Linked DNA regions of Saccharomyces cerevisiae S288C. Changing the gene in region 1 together with any one later gene gives a genetic interaction. Each region holds a gene or a part of one and is shown in the gene's direction. Other genes may lie near its edges. The genes, in order: RPA34, VPS72, CKB2 and CKB1.

Region 1 (4,123 bases):
GACCCTTTAAAACTGTTCAATTATCTTTACCCTTTAGATATCAAGTTACAAATCATCGATTTAAAATTGCATTGGAGGAGGGAGTTTTACAATAATGATTATTTTGTTAAAAAGATACGACCCGGCAATCCTCTGACTAAACTATCGGAGGTTTTTGACAAGAGGACATTGAAAATTCTTACCATCATTTCTTGGAATGACACTTTGTTAAAACGCGAGACAGAAATGCTGAAAGATTTTAAAGAATTTGAGAACCTGGAAGATTTGTCTTTGATTTCTATTAAGCAGGATGTTCATATCCTCGTAGATCTTTTTAGTTCGTTAACCAATTTGAAAAGACTAAAAATGGATTTCTTAGAGGAGTATGTACCTGAACCCACAAATCCTCACATATTTCTCTCCATTCTTTTAGCTTGCTCCAAATTGCAATTCATAGATCTGAGATACGACGGTCTTATCCCACAAATCATCAATATTCAAGAAAATAAGTTCCAACTAAATCAGCAATGCAACTGCACAAACTGTCAAATAGTATTCAGTGACATTCTGAAGGGCAAAATATTCATGTTCCCTGAAGACTACTATATTCACGATCTTCAAGACATTGCTGCAAAGGATATTTTTAAAATGATGAAATACCTATCTTTGTTACCATACTCTAAAGCTTGTGATGCTTATCCGAGCGTTAGAACACAACCAATGAATTTGACTAATTTTGTGACCAAGATGAACCGCAACCTTTTGGAATATAGAAATTCTAAATCCCAGTTGGTGCCCAAAATCGTTAATAACCCACATCAACACTCCACCGTGACTTCCACATCAACCGCTCATATGAGCGAGCCCGAAATGATAATAATCGATGACGATGATGATGATGATGAAATTAATGCGGCCATTCCTCCAAGTAGTGATGACACAGCAGCTACAATTTCCACTGACCTGGAACTTCCTCATGAATCATTGACCAAAAGAGATATTATTATGTGTTATCACGCTCTTATCCATCACTTCAAGTCGATTTACGTTACTTTTTTGAAAAGTTTTCCTCATTTGAGATTCTTGATGTTGAATGACATTCCCACAATAGTTATGGAGGAGAATAATGAACGTATTTTTGAACCCGTCTTTTATCATTATGATTATAAGAGTAATCTGTATGGATGGTCAAAGGAATCGAACAAGAATCTGGAGAACGACAGCAACAACAACAATAATAATTCTGATACCATTGCAAGAATAGCCACTGTTATGTAATCAACTCCCCTTCAAATATATATATTTAATAATATATATTCAACGCATTTTTTAAGCTAGCAGGATTCAGATTACTGGTCTACTTCATATTAAGGAAATACAAGATCCATTCGGATGCTAGAAAAAAATCAACCAACTATTCCAATGTTGGTAAGCTGGTTTGATAAAGTAAACACAAGATACTACAGTATACGATCACTCAGACATCCTAGGAAGGTCTCTAAAGAAGAGCGGTCACCGAGAGTACTAACGATGGGTTCGTAAGCGTACTCCTACCGTGGAAACTGCGAATGTTAAGGAACCAGTCTTTCATCACCGTGATCATAAATTATATATATTATCTGTCTCCTCAAATTACCCACATTTGATAATCTCATGAGAAAAAATAAAGGCTCAGATCTGCATGTGTTGTATAACACTGGCAAGAAAAGTTCCCGTTTGCAAACACAAATGATTAAAAAAAAATGTCACAGAAGCAACATCTTTTCAAAATCATTCGCATTAAGAGAACGAGATAAAATCCCTTGTCGTCATGGTCGAATCGGACGAGGAAAGAAGAGACACCATTATCATCAGGGCCAATCAATTCTTCTTTTCTGTTTAAAAAAGTGTCATGAAATTTCTCTTGAGATTATTCAAACTTGAATGTATCAAATGGGAAGGAGTGCAATGCTGAAGTCGAAAGAGGAGGATTACTCTCATTCTTACTACATTACAGTCACTGCTGTTTGTTCTTATGTAGGGGAATTCTTATTAACCGAATGTCGAGATTATTATAACCTTACAGAAGGTTGTCCAGTATTTATACATTTTGTTTCTGCCCATAAAGCTCTAGAAAATGAAAAAAAATTTTCTTTTCAGCCTGAGAAAGTTTTTTCTTAGGGCAGCGTGTGGTTATTGGGTGTTGCGAAACTTTTTTTCTCAAACATGAAATTAAAGAAATGAAAAATTTTATCGATGAGCATTGAATAGCTCAAGTTATAGGGTATTCGGTATCATATAGGTCTGTGATCGAGTGAGCAGTGAGCAGCTAGGATTCAATAAACGGGATTAACAAAAAATTGATATGTCCAAGCTTTCGAAAGATTACGTATCAGATTCAGACTCTGATGATGAAGTGATATCAAACGAGTTCAGCATACCAGATGGTTTCAAGAAATGTAAACATTTAAAGAATTTCCCTCTCAACGGTGATAACAAAAAAAAAGCGAAACAGCAACAGGTTTGGCTGATCAAATTCCCATCAAATGTGGACATCTCCAAGTTAAAATCTCTGCCTGTAGATTTTGAATCCTCTACAACCATGACAATTGATAAACACGATTATAAAATCATGGACGATACAGATATTGAGTCCTCGTTAACACAGGATAACCTCAGTAATATGACTTTATTGGTTCCTTCGGAAAGTAAGGAAAGTCTTAAAATTGCTAGCACTGCCAAGGATAATGCACCATTACAGTTTGACAAGGTATTTTCTGTCAGCGAAACCGCTAAAATCCCAGCTATTGATTACAGTAAGGTAAGAGTTCCACGTAAAGATGTTCCAAAAGTAGAAGGCTTGAAGTTGGAGCATTTTGCTACTGGTTATGATGCCGAAGATTTCCATGTGGCTGAGGAAGTTAAAGAAAATAAGAAAGAACCAAAGAAGCGTTCACATCACGACGATGAAGAGGAGTCTAGTGAAAAGAAGAAAAAGAAGAAGGAGAAGAGGGAGAAGAGGGAGAAGAAGGATAAAAAGGATAAGAAAAAGAAACATAGAGATTGAATGCGTATGTGCGTATAACTGTGTGTAACATAAGATAAAAATGTGCATTTGTGTGTGTGTCAGTGATTTTTTTTCGCATTTACATATATAAAAAGGCATTTCTGCTGGTGGAAACTGATGAATGTTTTGTGTGGGCAATATTACTATTTAGTTTTGCATACTTAAATTTGTGTATACGATTAGAAATTTCAATATTTCGGGTGTAACACAAACGATTATTTTTTTCTTGATTTAGAGTCGCCATATGAATATTATTAACCTGCTTTTTCTGTGTTCTCTCTTATATGAGGTTCAATGGTAAGTGTGTTTTTAACTCGTGTTCTTCTTCATTAATCATCTTTAATACACTTCCAAGGTTGACCTGTAAATCTTCAAAGATTAGTTTATCCTGGCACGTCCGATGGATACTCCGTATAGAAATATCTAAGGATCTAATAAATTTGTATTGGTCCATTATTGGTGTGGACGGTTTCTTCGGTGACTCCAGCATTATTTTGCTTTGTATACTCAATTTTACGATATCAATTAACCATTTTTTGACCAATTTTGGTTCCTCTTCAACGCATTTCGAAATAGCCCTTAAAATACGAACAAGCAGGATTTGATTTTGGGTGAAAGAGAAACCATCATCTTTATTGTGGTTCAGGACCGTTAAATCAGGCAATATATGTGACTTTTCATACAAAGATTGATAAATTAAAATCAAATCGTTATTCCTCCAATTTGCGCCTAAAAGCTTAATGTAATGAATTATATTTTGACGAATATTATCTTCAGATACGTTAGAAGTTAGACATCTCCACAAAAGACGTCGCAGAGGAAACGGTAGATCACTGTAATCGGACAACCAACGAGGCTCGTAGTCTTTTCTTATTTGCACATCGTGCGTTCTATAATACAACAGGATGGATATCACTACTCTTTGGTATTCGTCAAACAAGGCTCTGTGCTCCCATACTTTATCGAATTTGTTGAACTTTTTTGAGAGCAAAATTTCTGTTATTTGACGCACATTAGTTAACTTGCCCACATACTGCAAAAGCAGCAGCCTATCATATAGATCCTCGGACGATGAACCTTGTAGTTCCTTCGAAGAAG
Region 2 (5,816 bases), on another chromosome or scaffold:
ACGAGTGAGGACCCGCAGTACGTCTGGATCGGTGGCGAAGACGGTGGTATATACAAGGTTTTCTGGGACCAACCTGGGCCGCTGTACCTCTCTTTGGACAACAATGGGTTCCAACCTGCAGAAAACCACTCTACGAGGGTAACCGGGTTAGAGTTTCATTGGGACGATGCTCGGCGGCTAATGCTTCTATTATCATGTTCCACGGACTGGACGGTGCGGCTGTGGGACGCGCGAGCAGGGAAAGCTATCATAGGGGCGCCATTGTTGTTAGGGGGGCCCGTACTACGTGCACGCTGGCTCGAAAAAAACAATGGAGGGGAAAATAGTCGCACTCTACGGTGTCAAGTGTGGTGTGCAGATGGTCGCCTCGTTGTTGTAAATTGGGCTTTCGATGCTAAGACGTCCCTCTACACGGCCACTGTTATCTCCTAACGCCGCTTCGAGGCGGGTGAGCATAGGTTATTGCCTGATGAGTAATTTCTTAGCGAGAATTGATAAAAAAAAGCAAGGCTATTATTAATATACGTGCTATTGTGAAATTTTCATTGGCGTATATATGTGAGGTGAATGTAAATATCTCCAACAAAAAGCAGAAGGCTAAAAAAAAGGAAAGGAAAAGAAGAAAAGGCAACGTCGAAAATGTTTACACCAATTGATCAAGCTATAGAACACTTCAAGCAGAATAAGTTTGTAATTGTTATGGACGATGCCGGTCGTGAAAATGAAGGTGATCTTATTTGCGCTGCTGAAAATGTCAGCACTGAACAAATGGCCTTTCTTGTACGCCATTCCTCAGGCTACGTCTGTGCACCTATGACGAATGCCATTGCTGATAAGTTGGACCTTCCACTACTGAGAACAGGCATGAAGTTTGAATCCAATGATGACGACAGGCATGGAACTGCATACACAATAACTGTAGATGTAGCCCAAGGCACTACCACAGGTATTTCTGCTCACGACAGGTCGATGACTTGTAGGGCTCTTGCAGACTCTTCCTCTACGCCAAAATCATTTTTAAAACCAGGGCACATCTGTCCCTTGAGAGCCGCTGATGGCGGTGTTTTGCAGAGAAGAGGCCACACTGAGGCCGGTGTCGATTTGTGTAAACTAAGTGGACTAAGTCCCGTCGCTGTTATTGGCGAATTGGTTAACGATGACGAACAAGGAACTATGATGAGATTAAATGACTGCCAAGCGTTTGGTAAGAAACATGGCATTCCTTTGATCTCCATCGAAGAATTGGCCCAATATTTGAAGAAATAATCTGGTGAACATTTTCTCCATTCATTCTATCACAACAGACTCACACATATATACATGTATATATTTGTAACTTTGTATATATCTTTTGTTTTTTGACCTTTTTCTTCCTCTATGTTTTTCAGCCATACAAAAATATGGGATTTTTAGCAAGAGAAAAAGTACATCTAAAAAAAGTAGTAATAGGAGGAAGCCAAGATTGGTTGAAACACAGTTATAAACTCTTCAAGGCAATTATGAACAGGATTTTCGGATATGGGAACAAAAAGAGCCATGATCAGCTCTTACAAGAGTCGAATCAGTCCATGAATCAGGCCCAACAATCACTATCGAACAGAATATCCCAGTTAGATACTCAAATCGCCCAGTTAAACTTCCAGCTGCAAAATATTCAAAAGAATTTGCAAAGATCAAACAACAAGCAACCCTCGTTAAGAAAACAGGCTTTGAAGATTTTAAATAAACGTAAACAGTTAGAAAATATGAAGGATTCTTTAGATTCTCAATCCTGGTCCATGACGCAAGCCCAGTTAACAAATGATAACTTACAGAACACAATGATCACTATAAACGCACTAAAGCAAACAAACAATGCCATGAAGGCTCAATACGGCAAGATAAATATCGACAAACTACAGGACATGCAGGATGAGATGCTGGATTTAATAGAACAAGGGGATGAGCTGCAAGAAGTCTTGGCAATGAATAATAACAGTGGCGAGCTCGACGACATTAGTGATGCAGAGCTGGATGCAGAGCTGGATGCTCTGGCACAAGAGGATTTCACTTTGCCAACCAGCGAAAACTCATTAGGTAACGATATGCCCAGTTACTTACTAGGTGCGAATGCGCCACCGGCTTTTATTGATGAAGAGCCAAACTTAGATACTGAAGACAAAAATAAAGCTTTAGAAAGCGCTCAGTGAAAACAAAAAGCACACAAAGTTGCATATTCAGAATTTTTCTCTCCTTTCCCTTTTCTTTATATTCTCTTTGCTGGTAAGCCAAAATATGTACCTTATTTAGGTTTTAGTAGTTTTCTTTTTTCTTTGTTAAAAAAATCCTGATGGAAAAAACAGTAAGCAGAAAGCACCATGTAGTCTAATGAATACAAATAGAAGTGAAACCGAAGCAAATTCACAGTGCACGATGAGTGATGAAGGTGCTGATAAAAGTCTAGATACTAACACAGAATTTATTATACAAACACGATCTAGGAGGTCTAATGCCGGTAATAAATTACAAAAACTATTGGAGCAGGAGCTAAGAGATATAGAATCTACCAAAAGACAAATTTCTTCCTATAAGAATGGTAATGATGATGAAGAAGATGAAATAGGGCTGTTGTTTCAGGAAGATGAAGATGATGAAGATTTCGAAATGATGGCAAAAGATGACGATGATGAAGGGGAAGAAAAAGAAGATGAGACTCAAAGTATAAGGAAAGAGCCCTCTCAGGCTTCAAGTGAGCAAGCAGCCGATGACTTAATGTTCAGCAGTAGCGAATCTGAGGACTCCAGCAACGAGAATGATGAAGATGCAGAGGAAAAGGAAATACGAAGACAAGAACTACTTTCAAGAAAGAAAAGAAACAAGAGATTACAGAAGGGTCCCGTTGTAATCAAAAAACAAAAACCTAAGCCTAAGTCAGGAGAAGCTATACCAAGATCGCACCATACCCATGAACAATTAAACGCAGAGACGTTACTATTAAATACAAGGAGAACTTCTAAAAGATCATCGGTAATGGAAAACACGATGAAAGTTTATGAGAAATTGTCTAAAGCTGAAAAAAAGAGAAAAATTATACAAGAAAGAATAAGGAAACACAAGGAGCAGGAGTCTCAGCATATGCTGACACAAGAAGAGAGGCTACGGATTGCCAAGGAGACTGAGAAGCTGAATATTTTGTCACTGGATAAGTTCAAGGAACAAGAAGTTTGGAAAAAGGAGAATCGTCTAGCTTTGCAGAAAAGACAAAAGCAGAAATTCCAGCCAAATGAGACTATACTGCAATTTTTATCTACTGCTTGGCTAATGACGCCAGCGATGGAGTTAGAAGATCGTAAATATTGGCAGGAACAATTGAATAAACGTGATAAGAAGAAGAAAAAATATCCGAGGAAGCCAAAGAAGAATTTAAATCTCGGAAAACAGGACGCATCAGATGATAAAAAGCGGGAGAGTGAAGAATCGATAAAGAACGATGGCGACGTGAATTCTTTGGGTGAGAATTCTTCATCTGTACACAACCAGAAAAGGATTGAGGAAACTTCTACTAACGATACAGTTGAAGGAGAATCGAGTCCAGATGCAGCGGTGAGTAGAGTAAATTCAGACGAATTAAAGCCAACAGCATTACCTGATGTTACATTGGACGCAATTGCAAACAAGCAGAGTACCGTTGATGAAGCTCCCAACAGCCAACCACAAAAGAATATAATAACTAATGAGCAAAAAATTACCAATGTAGGCGAACCGATACAAAATTTACATAATGAAGAAATTAAAGATGAAATGGTAAGTGCTCTCGAGAGCAGGGAAAATACTTTTGAAAACTCATCACCTGCTGCCCAAGTGGTCTCACAAAGGGATAATTCTGCAACACCTACACCATCAAACTCCACTGGCACTGAAGATACTATATTGATCTCTCCGGATACGGATATAAAAGGAGAGCCTGAACCTTGTCTGAAAACCGAAGGCATCGAGAACTTATCTCATAATGTACCACAAGAGACCAAAAGCAATACTGATGTTTCTTTCTTGAAACAAGTAACGTTTACCGACCATCCGCAAGTGGCCATAATCGATACTGAAGAGTCACCCTCAAAAAAAGATACAGCTAATGTTGATGAATCTTCCGCGGAAAACTCTTTATCAACACAGACCTACGAAGGGCCTGAGCAATTAACCTCAAGGAACTTTGTTACACTTTATGATTTTCCTAATGCTCCTCCAAATCTAAAAGATTTTAACACAAACTTATTTGGTGATCGATGGTCATACACAAATGGGTTATCCGCCACTCAGCGTCCACAAGATATGAAAACTGTTTTCCACTCCATTTTACCATCACCTCCTCAGTCTTCAGTACCGTCTCCTACCGTAGATATATCACTTGATCTGTCAGCTCTGGCAAATTTCCCATCTTTTGGGGAATACGATAAGAAAATAGTCCATCAAATCAACACAGAGATAAATAAGGATTTGGAAATCAAAATTAAAACACAGCCTCCAACGGGTGTCTTCTTAGCCAATGGTATAAGAAAAAAATGTTTAATCACAAATAAAGAATGTCAGTACTTTGATCCAAGGACTGGTGTGCCTTATTCTGATGTGGAAGCTTATAAAATTATTCAGCGGATTCAAGATCCTATTTCTAAGGAGGAGGGAAGGTCAGATATCAAGCGTGATGAAACGACAAATGAGGATAGTGACGATCAAGTGAGATTCAAGTGGTTTGGGTTCAAAAACGGCGGTATTTACCTTGATTTAAGTCAAAGACCTGCAAAAGGTGTTCCTGAAGGATTTTAATTGAGACAGACTATATAATGGTAGGTCGTTAAACATTTGACTATATTCCACACAAAATAAGAAATCATAAAGATCATTTTACATAAAAATATACTTTATACGCTCCATGTCTTATACAATCGTTACATTCATCAATTTCTGGTGAAAGCTTCAACTAAAGTTTTGAAATGATTTTCGGTCTCTCTGATTATTAGTGGTACGCTTGAATCATTATCGTCGTCATTCGCAACTTTCGTACCAACATTTTCAGCAGAATCAAAATTGTAGTTTTGTGCATCCGAGTCATTTATATTTAAATGTAGATGCAATTGCTGTAGGTTATTGTATAAATACATGTAATTTGTAGCCAGAAATCTTTCTGGTGATTTCGTCTTTTTACTGCACTTTGTCATGACTGTTTCGAAATCATTTCTTAATCTAATGATGGAATTGTATAAGGGTTCAGATCTTTCGTCTATGGACTGCTTATGTGTTATTGCCAACGTCAAGAAGCTTGATAAAAATTTACCGAACTGTACAGTTAACTCATGAGGTGAGGTCAAAGGGCTACTATTGGATGTGCTTGAGTTGCCGGCATATTTTGCCACATTTGTAGTTATTGCCGCTTTTCGTAAGCTCTCGCATTGAAAATCGACCAATTGCTGAAATCGAGGCCATAATTGAATTAATTGACCATTCAAGAAACTATCAAACATAGACGGTATTCCTCTCCTTTCTGATTCAAATTGTAATTGATTGGCCACACGAATACTTATTAATACACCAAAAATGTCATAATTATATTGGATCAGTTGTTGAGTGTATGTTGTGGCTTCATCAAAAGTTGGTTGAAATATTTGTTCCAATAAACCATTAATTTCCTCAAAATTATCGCCATTCATAGCGAAGAAATCTTTTAAAAAATGGTACTCCACCGTACAGTTATCTAAAATTGCAAGGTTTAAATTTTTAAATCCAATTTCAATGTAGTTTTTCGTTGTGTTATTTTCTGCAATTTGGGATACCATTACCGTATT
Region 3 (3,255 bases), on another chromosome or scaffold:
GACAATTGTCGGCCTTTGTTCATTGCCAGATCCATTCTTAACATCGAGGATTAAATTCGGATTATTAATTGGAGAGTATTTAAATGTAGATCTGATTTTCGGTGTTGCAAGTCTAATCCTTGAGAAAGACGTATTGGGTAGGAGCAAGCCGGTATCTAAAAAGTCAATTGGCTGTAGCTCTTTTTTCTGCTTTTTGCTGCCAGGGGCAATGTTACTTGGAGTTGCCTCTTTTGGCTTTCTCTTCAAATCCCTTGGCACAGTGTATGATGGAGTGTTGAATTCCATTGATGTGCTCTGGATAGTTTTGATGCCATTAGTTTGATTGTTAGCCGTTTTTTTTTTGGTCGGTTTCTTGCCCACGGCAGATCTACCAATATCGTTTGGAATAGGTGCTGCGCTTGCAGATTCTTCTAATTTGATGTTTTCTGGGAAACTTTTCGGTATTTGTTCTGCTAACGGCTCTTCAAGCTTTGGAAGCTTTTTGTTTACTTCTTGTAACGATTTGATTTCCGTTTGAGGCAATGCTACACCTAAATCCTTCTCTTGGAATGCGAATGTATACAATGTCGCGTCGTTTGAAATGGCAAACAAGGTGAACCCATCCTGTGACCAAGACATATCGTTTATTGCGGTGGAGGAAACCTGGAGAGCATTAAACAAAGGTTTCATTCTCTTCGTATTCCAAACCAAAATAGTACCGTCTGTAGATCCCGAAGTGGCGATTAAATTATAGCGTGTGCTGGTGCCCTTTTTCAAATTAGGCTTTTCATAAAATGCTGGAGAATAAACAAGAACTCTACATCCATTTGAAGAAGGTGTTACCAGTGTTTTTGTAACTTTGTAGTTGTTATTTCTGTCAAGTAAAGCGGTACAGCTGGTAGCATTATTCGGCACACCTTTCACCGAGTTTATCACTGGTAAAATGTCTGCCTGAGGTGACATTGAGATTCTATAATGTAATGGATACATTTGTACATGCTGCGTAAGTTTATTTATGAGTTTGTGTGTACCCGTTTTGTTAATTTGATAGACTAAAATTGATCTATCTGAAGTCATAACAGTAAAAGTTTGGCCAGTAGGATCTATTATGCCTGTAATAGGTTTGCTCGCCTTGTCAATAGTTATTTCAGAGAGTTTATCAAAGGTTTTATGCCGAAATAATAGTATCTTATTTTCATTACTTAAAAGAACAAATAAGATACCTAAGTTTATGTCATATTTCACATCCGTTATTGTGCTTGGAGATTTACACTCGAACAGAAGCTTACTGTTCATTTTTTCGACAGAATTGATGTTATTTGTATCTCTACAGAGCCAACCTGAATAACCCCACAGACGATGTTCAGATCCAATATACAATGTTTCGAGATCACCTGTTATGAAAAAAATATCACCGGTAGTATCCTGATCCACCTGGAAAGAAACTTCTGGCTTTAAATCCTTAATCATAACCCTATCGAATGCAGTATCGACTAGTTGTTGTTGTCTCCACGCCATCACGTGACCCCCACTGCCTGCCAATATGATATAGGGACCAAGGGCAGCTAAGGCATTCACTTGTTCATTATGAATATCCAAAGGATACTTTAATAATCTCATTGTTCCGGATTGTGTAGGAACTCCTTTGCTGCGTGGCGTATTCCTCTGTATGGACGATTTAGCACTTTTTGTATATTGTTTTATGAAGACTTCATAATTCTAGCCGAATTAACTGATATTTTTTTCGCGCTTTTTTTTGTCGACCTTCCAGGAAGAAAAAATATGAAAGCGAATAAATGGAGGTGTATTGGCAATCCTTTATCAAATGAAAACAAGCACCAAATAGAATAAGTAAATCACATTCTTAAAGAAGTTGGTCATTCCAGATACGTGGAATTTTCCTGCTGTATTTTTTCATCAATCTTTTACTTGAGAAATACTAGCTTTTTTCAAATTATTCAAGATTAAGGGACTTAGAGAACTGATAGAAAAGCAGATCATGGGCAGTAGATCGGAGAATGTGGGAACAGTGACTAGAGAAGGCTCCAGAGTGGAACAAGATGATGTCCTCATGGATGATGACTCTGACTCATCGGAATACGTGGATATGTGGATCGATTTATTTCTTGGGAGAAAAGGCCATGAATATTTCTGTGATGTCGATCCTGAGTACATCACTGATCGTTTTAATCTGATGAACTTGCAAAAGACAGTTTCAAAATTTTCCTACGTGGTACAATATATTGTGGATGATTTGGATGATAGTATCCTAGAGAATATGACACATGCCCGTTTAGAACAATTAGAATCAGATTCCCGGAAGCTGTATGGTCTCATCCATGCACGCTACATTATAACTATCAAAGGATTGCAAAAAATGTACGCTAAGTACAAAGAGGCGGACTTTGGAAGATGTCCCCGTGTGTATTGTAATTTACAACAGTTGTTACCGGTTGGTTTGCATGACATTCCTGGTATAGATTGTGTCAAGTTATATTGTCCATCTTGTGAGGATCTTTATATACCAAAATCATCGAGACATAGTTCCATTGATGGTGCATACTTTGGAACAAGTTTTCCAGGTATGTTTTTGCAAGCATTTCCAGATATGGTACCCAAACACCCAACTAAAAGATATGTTCCAAAAATATTTGGATTTGAATTACATAAACAAGCTCAACTGACAAGGTGGCAAGAACTACAACGACTCAAGTTAGTTGAGAAACTTGAATCCAAAGATGTTGATTTGACGAAAAGTGGTGGTTTTAAAACCTAACTATTAAAGAAAGAAGAAAAAATTCGAAATGAAATCCTAGGCGAAATTGAAAACGAAAATGAAAATAATGGAGAAACTTCGTCATAAAATTGTGAAAATCAGGTATCATTTGTTCTCCTAGCATTTTCTTTCCTAGAATATTACTATTTTCTACCTCCATTCGTATTTTACTTTTCCTATTTAATATTAAATTTTTATATACCGTTATTGCCCCTTACGGCAATAATACAACCAGATAAAAGAGCGTGCTCCGAAGTTAGCCTGTTATATATCAACAATTTGCAAATGTGGTTACCCACGAATTATTGGTGTTATTTTAGTGAATAGCTTGAAATCTTTGAATGTAGGAAGCATCCTTATTTATCAAGAAATTGGAGAAGTGGCGGCATCGCGTGGAGACTGCCTATGAACTAAGAGGCGGTTTATATTTTAAAAACTCAAAAGCTGTTTGAAGACTAATCTGGAAGTACTGAAAAGAGGAGATTTACTCATTCTTTGGT
Region 4 (4,412 bases), on another chromosome or scaffold:
ATGGTCTCTATTATCCAATCATTCTGCTGTTTCATCATCTAAATCTAAGAAAAGATGGTCTGTACTTTCTTCAAGCTTTACCAGTGAATCTCATAAGGACAGGGAATCGAGGAACGTTTTGCAACAAAAAAGAAAATCCTTGCAGAGTTATTCAAGCTTAGATACGGTAGCATCTAATAGCTCTATCTCTGCTTCTTCTTCTTTGAAAAGATCGTCCACTGGTCTTTCCCTCAGACAATTGTTTACCAAGATAGGCATAAACGATGATATATCACAACCTGGGATCGGGATTCCGCAAGGTAAGGAAAATCTGCCTCCAACTATGGGCAAAAAAAATTCATCAATTGCTTCCACTAGTTCGGAAAACAGACTTAGGACACCATTGAAGCCGCTTGTTAATCATTCTAAAAGGCCCACTTCACAACCACAACAGCAACAACCACTATATAATGCATCATTGTCCTCGAGAAGATCGTCGATTTCTTCCACTGTCTCTTCTTCCAGCTCGTCTAAATGGAGATTCTGGAAGAGAAATAAGAACCAGACACCTGCATTGTTGCAACCAGACCACCATTCTTTAAAAACCTTTCCTGCAGTAAACCGTCGTGATTCCATGACGCCCGTTGAACCAAGAAATATGGTAAAACATAAGACATCCTTTTCAGATTTCCATAAGACTATCTTCAGTTCAAATACGTATTCTGAAAGCAGCGATACAATATCTTCCATGGAAATTACTTTGAAAAACAAAGCTTCTTCCTCAAGTCTATCTTTGAACGTGTTGAAGAAAAGGAATTCGCAATCAAGTTTGAAGCACAAAAGTTCACATGCATCCTTACAAAAATTCAAAAGAAACAAAGGAAAGTCCTCCATGATAGCACCATCGACAGCAACTAATAGCAGCAATGATGACTCTTGTAGCTACAGTTCCAAAAATTCTACGTTGAGTCACCGAATATCGTTACCTGTACCGGACCAAGTTTCCCGTGATAAAATTCAGAACAAATTAAGATATTCGACCTCATTACTCTCATTAAATTCTAAATCATCTTTACCGATGAACAAAAATGATCATGATGAGACACTTCTAAGACAGATTTTACTAAATTGTGATATAAAGAGAATTTTAAACCCCGCAAAAGGAGATGTATTGCCTTTAATCAACGATGTAAACCATTTGTCATCAATACAATTAACATCAAATGTTTGGCAAATTGGTGAAGTAATCTGTAAAAAAGTTTCTCTCGGTACTATTGATGACATTACATGGGATAGAAAGTTCTTATCTTTGCAGGAACTGGAAAAACTCAAAATCATGCAACAAAAATTTGATGGCATACCGCAACTATTGAAAAGTTTTGTTGTTAAAGAGGCAAATGGGGGGTTGTATTTGTACTTACTATTCAAAGATCACGGTACCCCAATTTCGTTAATCTCACTGAAAAACTGGAAGCAGATTCTAAAGATTTTTTGGTCTTGTGCTGGTATAATTCATGGGTTGGAAAAAAATTTGAAATTTGAACATCGTAATCTTACTTTGGATAATATTTTGATAGATGGTAATGGGAATATAACAATTATTGATTTTAAATGCAGTAGATTGCAAACTCCTCAAGATGATGTTTTATATCTACGGCTAGATCATCCACTCTTTTTTCTAAATGGGAAAGACAAGAGTAAAATAAACGAATACCAGTATCAATTTGAGTTTGAAATCTATCAAAGTATGCGGATCTTGTTGAACATGGACGCGTCAGCTTTTGAGCCCATGACAAATTTGTATTGGTTATATTACCTGTCACGCGTTTTACTAAAGTTTGGTGACAGGAAGCTTGGTAAGAATGATGCAAACAGGGATAAAATGGCAAGGGTGATAAACCATTTGGAAATGAACTTGGCAGTTCATAAAAGAGGGGGGCAGTTATTCAAAAGATTGGAGACGGAGGACATTAAGAATACTGGAGATTTACTAAAACTTTATAAATAAAACAAATAGGAATGTTGACATTTATATTTCATTTTCTTTCTATTGTATACTCCAATACATAAACATATTATATATACGTACATAATGTAATAACACTAATCTAAAATAATGGCATCGTCGACAGCATCCAAGGCTTTCTCCTCTTGAGTCTCCACAGATGCAGGTGCTTCCATTTTGGGAGTCAAAAACAATTGCTTAACGATAAATTCCACGCCGTTGATGACATTCATCAATGCCCAAACCCAGATTCCCAAAGAGACACTCTGTAAAGCCATATCATCAAACTTGGAAGCACCAAATTTGCCCTCCATTATATGCCATTTCTGAGAAATAGTCCTTAGAGGATGCAAGAGAACATATAACCAGCCTTGAGACCAAACACCACTTACAAACGTAGGGAACAAGGTGCTAGTCGAGGAACTCAACTTGTAAACTGGTGTCTTGCCGTACATAATCTTAAACACAAAAAATGGCACCGTCAATGCCAATAACCTGAGTTTGTGAAGATGGGCCTGAAAGGCTTTATTTTCTGATTGTATTTCGTCCTTCAAGTTATTTATTTCTTTATCTAACGAGTCCAATTTTCTATTGTTCTTAGTCCATTTGGCATAATTATCCTGCGCGGAGATAGAGTTGTTGAATTCTTTTAATTCGTGACGTTCTTTGACCTTGGCTAAGTATTTTTTGGATAATTCATTTCCTGGTGCAAATTTAGAGATCCATTTCTCGTGGTATTTGTTTGTATACTGTAGAAACTTTGTGACCACAATAAAGAATATCGCTACCGCTGCTGCCCAATGCATTTCTCCTATTTCAATCAACTAGACGTAGTTCAAGGATTGCAAACTGTCCTGCTTTCTTTTATCTGGTCTTTTTATCCCGAGGTATTGTTGTATATACCACTACTCTGTGATTTTTTTTCACTCTTGGGAAGGAAAGAAAAAGTGAAAACATCAACTGGTAAGTGTCTAATGACAAAAACAGGAGGTAGTTGGTACGTGCAAAACACGATAGTGACGTTAATCCGAATCTGTAAATTGGTGAATTGGTATTTAGAAGCGACCATTAGCTAAAAGAGAGAGAAAACTATGTCGCAAGAGTTTGTGGAAGACTATTCACGTACAGGGTCCTCAGACGACGAGGATAGTGGAGCTTATGACGAGTGGATTCCATCGTTCTGTTCCAGATTTGGTCACGAGTACTTCTGCCAAGTCCCGACAGAGTTTATCGAGGATGATTTCAATATGACCTCGTTATCCCAAGAGGTACCCCACTACCGGAAAGCTCTGGATTTGATATTGGATTTGGAGGCTATGAGTGATGAAGAAGAGGACGAAGACGACGTGGTGGAAGAAGACGAAGTGGATCAAGAGATGCAGAGTAATGACGGTCATGATGAAGGCAAAAGGAGAAACAAGTCGCCAGTGGTGAACAAGAGTATTATCGAGCACGCAGCAGAACAGTTATACGGATTGATACATGCAAGATTTATTCTGACCAAGCCAGGCCTGCAAGCAATGGCTGAAAAATTCGACCACAAGGAATTTGGAACGTGCCCCCGTTACTATTGTAATGGCATGCAGTTGCTGCCTTGTGGGTTGAGCGATACAGTTGGGAAACACACCGTAAGGTTGTACTGTCCCAGTTGTCAGGACTTGTATCTTCCCCAATCATCTAGATTCCTGTGCTTAGAAGGTGCATTTTGGGGGACAAGCTTCCCTGGTGTGTTCTTGAAACATTTCAAAGAATTGGAAGAGTATGTGGAAAGGAAAAGTAAAGAGTCCTACGAGTTGAAAGTTTTTGGGTTCAGGATAAATGATGAGGCAGTATCTGGTCCTAGAATGAAGTGGTTGAGACAATATCCATCCACGGAGGAGGACTGGGAAGAATTTGCCAAATGCGAGTTCGAGACACCGGCGGTTTAACCCTTGATTTATTTTCCTCTTTGCCCTACCATATACATATGTACTTTACCTATTTACATTGTTTCAGTTTTTATATCACCACTATTATTATTATTACTATTACCACTTTGGAGTACTTTAGTGATTCATTTCCAATTGTTTTCCTGGAGCCCAGTCTTTGAATGCCTTGGCCAAGTTGTACCAGTACTTTAGCTCCACGGTCAACTTCACTGCGGCGGCGTAATCCTTGTCATTGTAGCATTGTCCCAACTGGGCTTCAATATCTTGAATTCTTTCCTTGTTTTGCTTTTCAAGCAGCTTCACACCAGCTTCGTCGTCCATCTGGGATAATTCATCATGGATGTCTAGAACTTTCAATAGTAACTGTGGATCACTGGTAGTTACTTCATTTGAGGTCTGTTCTTGCGTCAAATCGATATTGCGCAAGAGTTTTAGCATATATTGTGACCTTCTAAGGGGATCTTTGAGAGTATGGTAAGCTTGATTAAGAGTTGATGACT

What was found.
Region 2: mutations in RPA34 (region 1) and VPS72 together harm fitness more than expected from each alone (negative genetic interaction), as found in Saccharomyces cerevisiae (5 studies listed by BioGRID, with this or other methods).
Region 3: mutations in RPA34 (region 1) and CKB2 together harm fitness more than expected from each alone (negative genetic interaction), as found in Saccharomyces cerevisiae (5 studies listed by BioGRID).
Region 4: mutations in RPA34 (region 1) and CKB1 together harm fitness more than expected from each alone (negative genetic interaction), as found in Saccharomyces cerevisiae (5 studies listed by BioGRID).

Annotation. Positions count from the first base shown.
Region 1 is NC_001142.9:138,114-142,236, forward strand, and holds RPA34 (DNA-directed RNA polymerase I subunit RPA34), read left to right. Parts: upstream 1-2,323; coding exon 2,324-3,025; downstream 3,026-4,123. Other genes in the region: SCF ubiquitin ligase complex subunit DAS1, read left to right, coding at 1-1,257; SMT1 (Smt1p), read right to left, coding at 3,306-4,123. UniProt on the Saccharomyces cerevisiae protein: DNA-dependent RNA polymerases catalyze the transcription of DNA into RNA using the four ribonucleoside triphosphates as substrates. Component of RNA polymerase I (Pol I) which synthesizes ribosomal RNA precursors.
Region 2 is NC_001136.10:1,423,804-1,429,619, reverse strand, and holds VPS72 (Vps72p), read left to right. Parts: upstream 1-2,412; coding exon 2,413-4,800; downstream 4,801-5,816. Other genes in the region: PAC11 (dynein intermediate chain), read left to right, coding at 1-432; 3,4-dihydroxy-2-butanone-4-phosphate synthase RIB3, read left to right, coding at 640-1,266; VPS60 (Vps60p), read left to right, coding at 1,500-2,189; VPS52 (Vps52p), read right to left, coding at 4,932-5,816. UniProt on the Saccharomyces cerevisiae protein: Participates in the catalytic exchange of histone H2A for the H2A variant HTZ1, an euchromatin-specific factor, leading to chromatin remodeling and changes in transcription of targeted genes. Indirectly involved in vacuolar protein sorting.
Region 3 is NC_001147.6:403,790-407,044, forward strand, and holds CKB2 (casein kinase 2 regulatory subunit CKB2), read left to right. Parts: upstream 1-1,978; coding exon 1,979-2,755; downstream 2,756-3,255. Other genes in the region: HIR2 (Hir2p), read right to left, coding at 1-1,599. UniProt on the Saccharomyces cerevisiae protein: Regulatory subunit of casein kinase II/CK2.
Region 4 is NC_001139.9:455,081-459,492, forward strand, and holds CKB1 (casein kinase 2 regulatory subunit CKB1), read left to right. Parts: upstream 1-3,075; coding exon 3,076-3,912; downstream 3,913-4,412. Other genes in the region: protein kinase ALK1, read left to right, coding at 1-1,987; GET complex subunit GET1, read right to left, coding at 2,083-2,790; J-type chaperone JAC1, read right to left, coding at 4,030-4,412. UniProt on the Saccharomyces cerevisiae protein: Regulatory subunit of casein kinase II/CK2.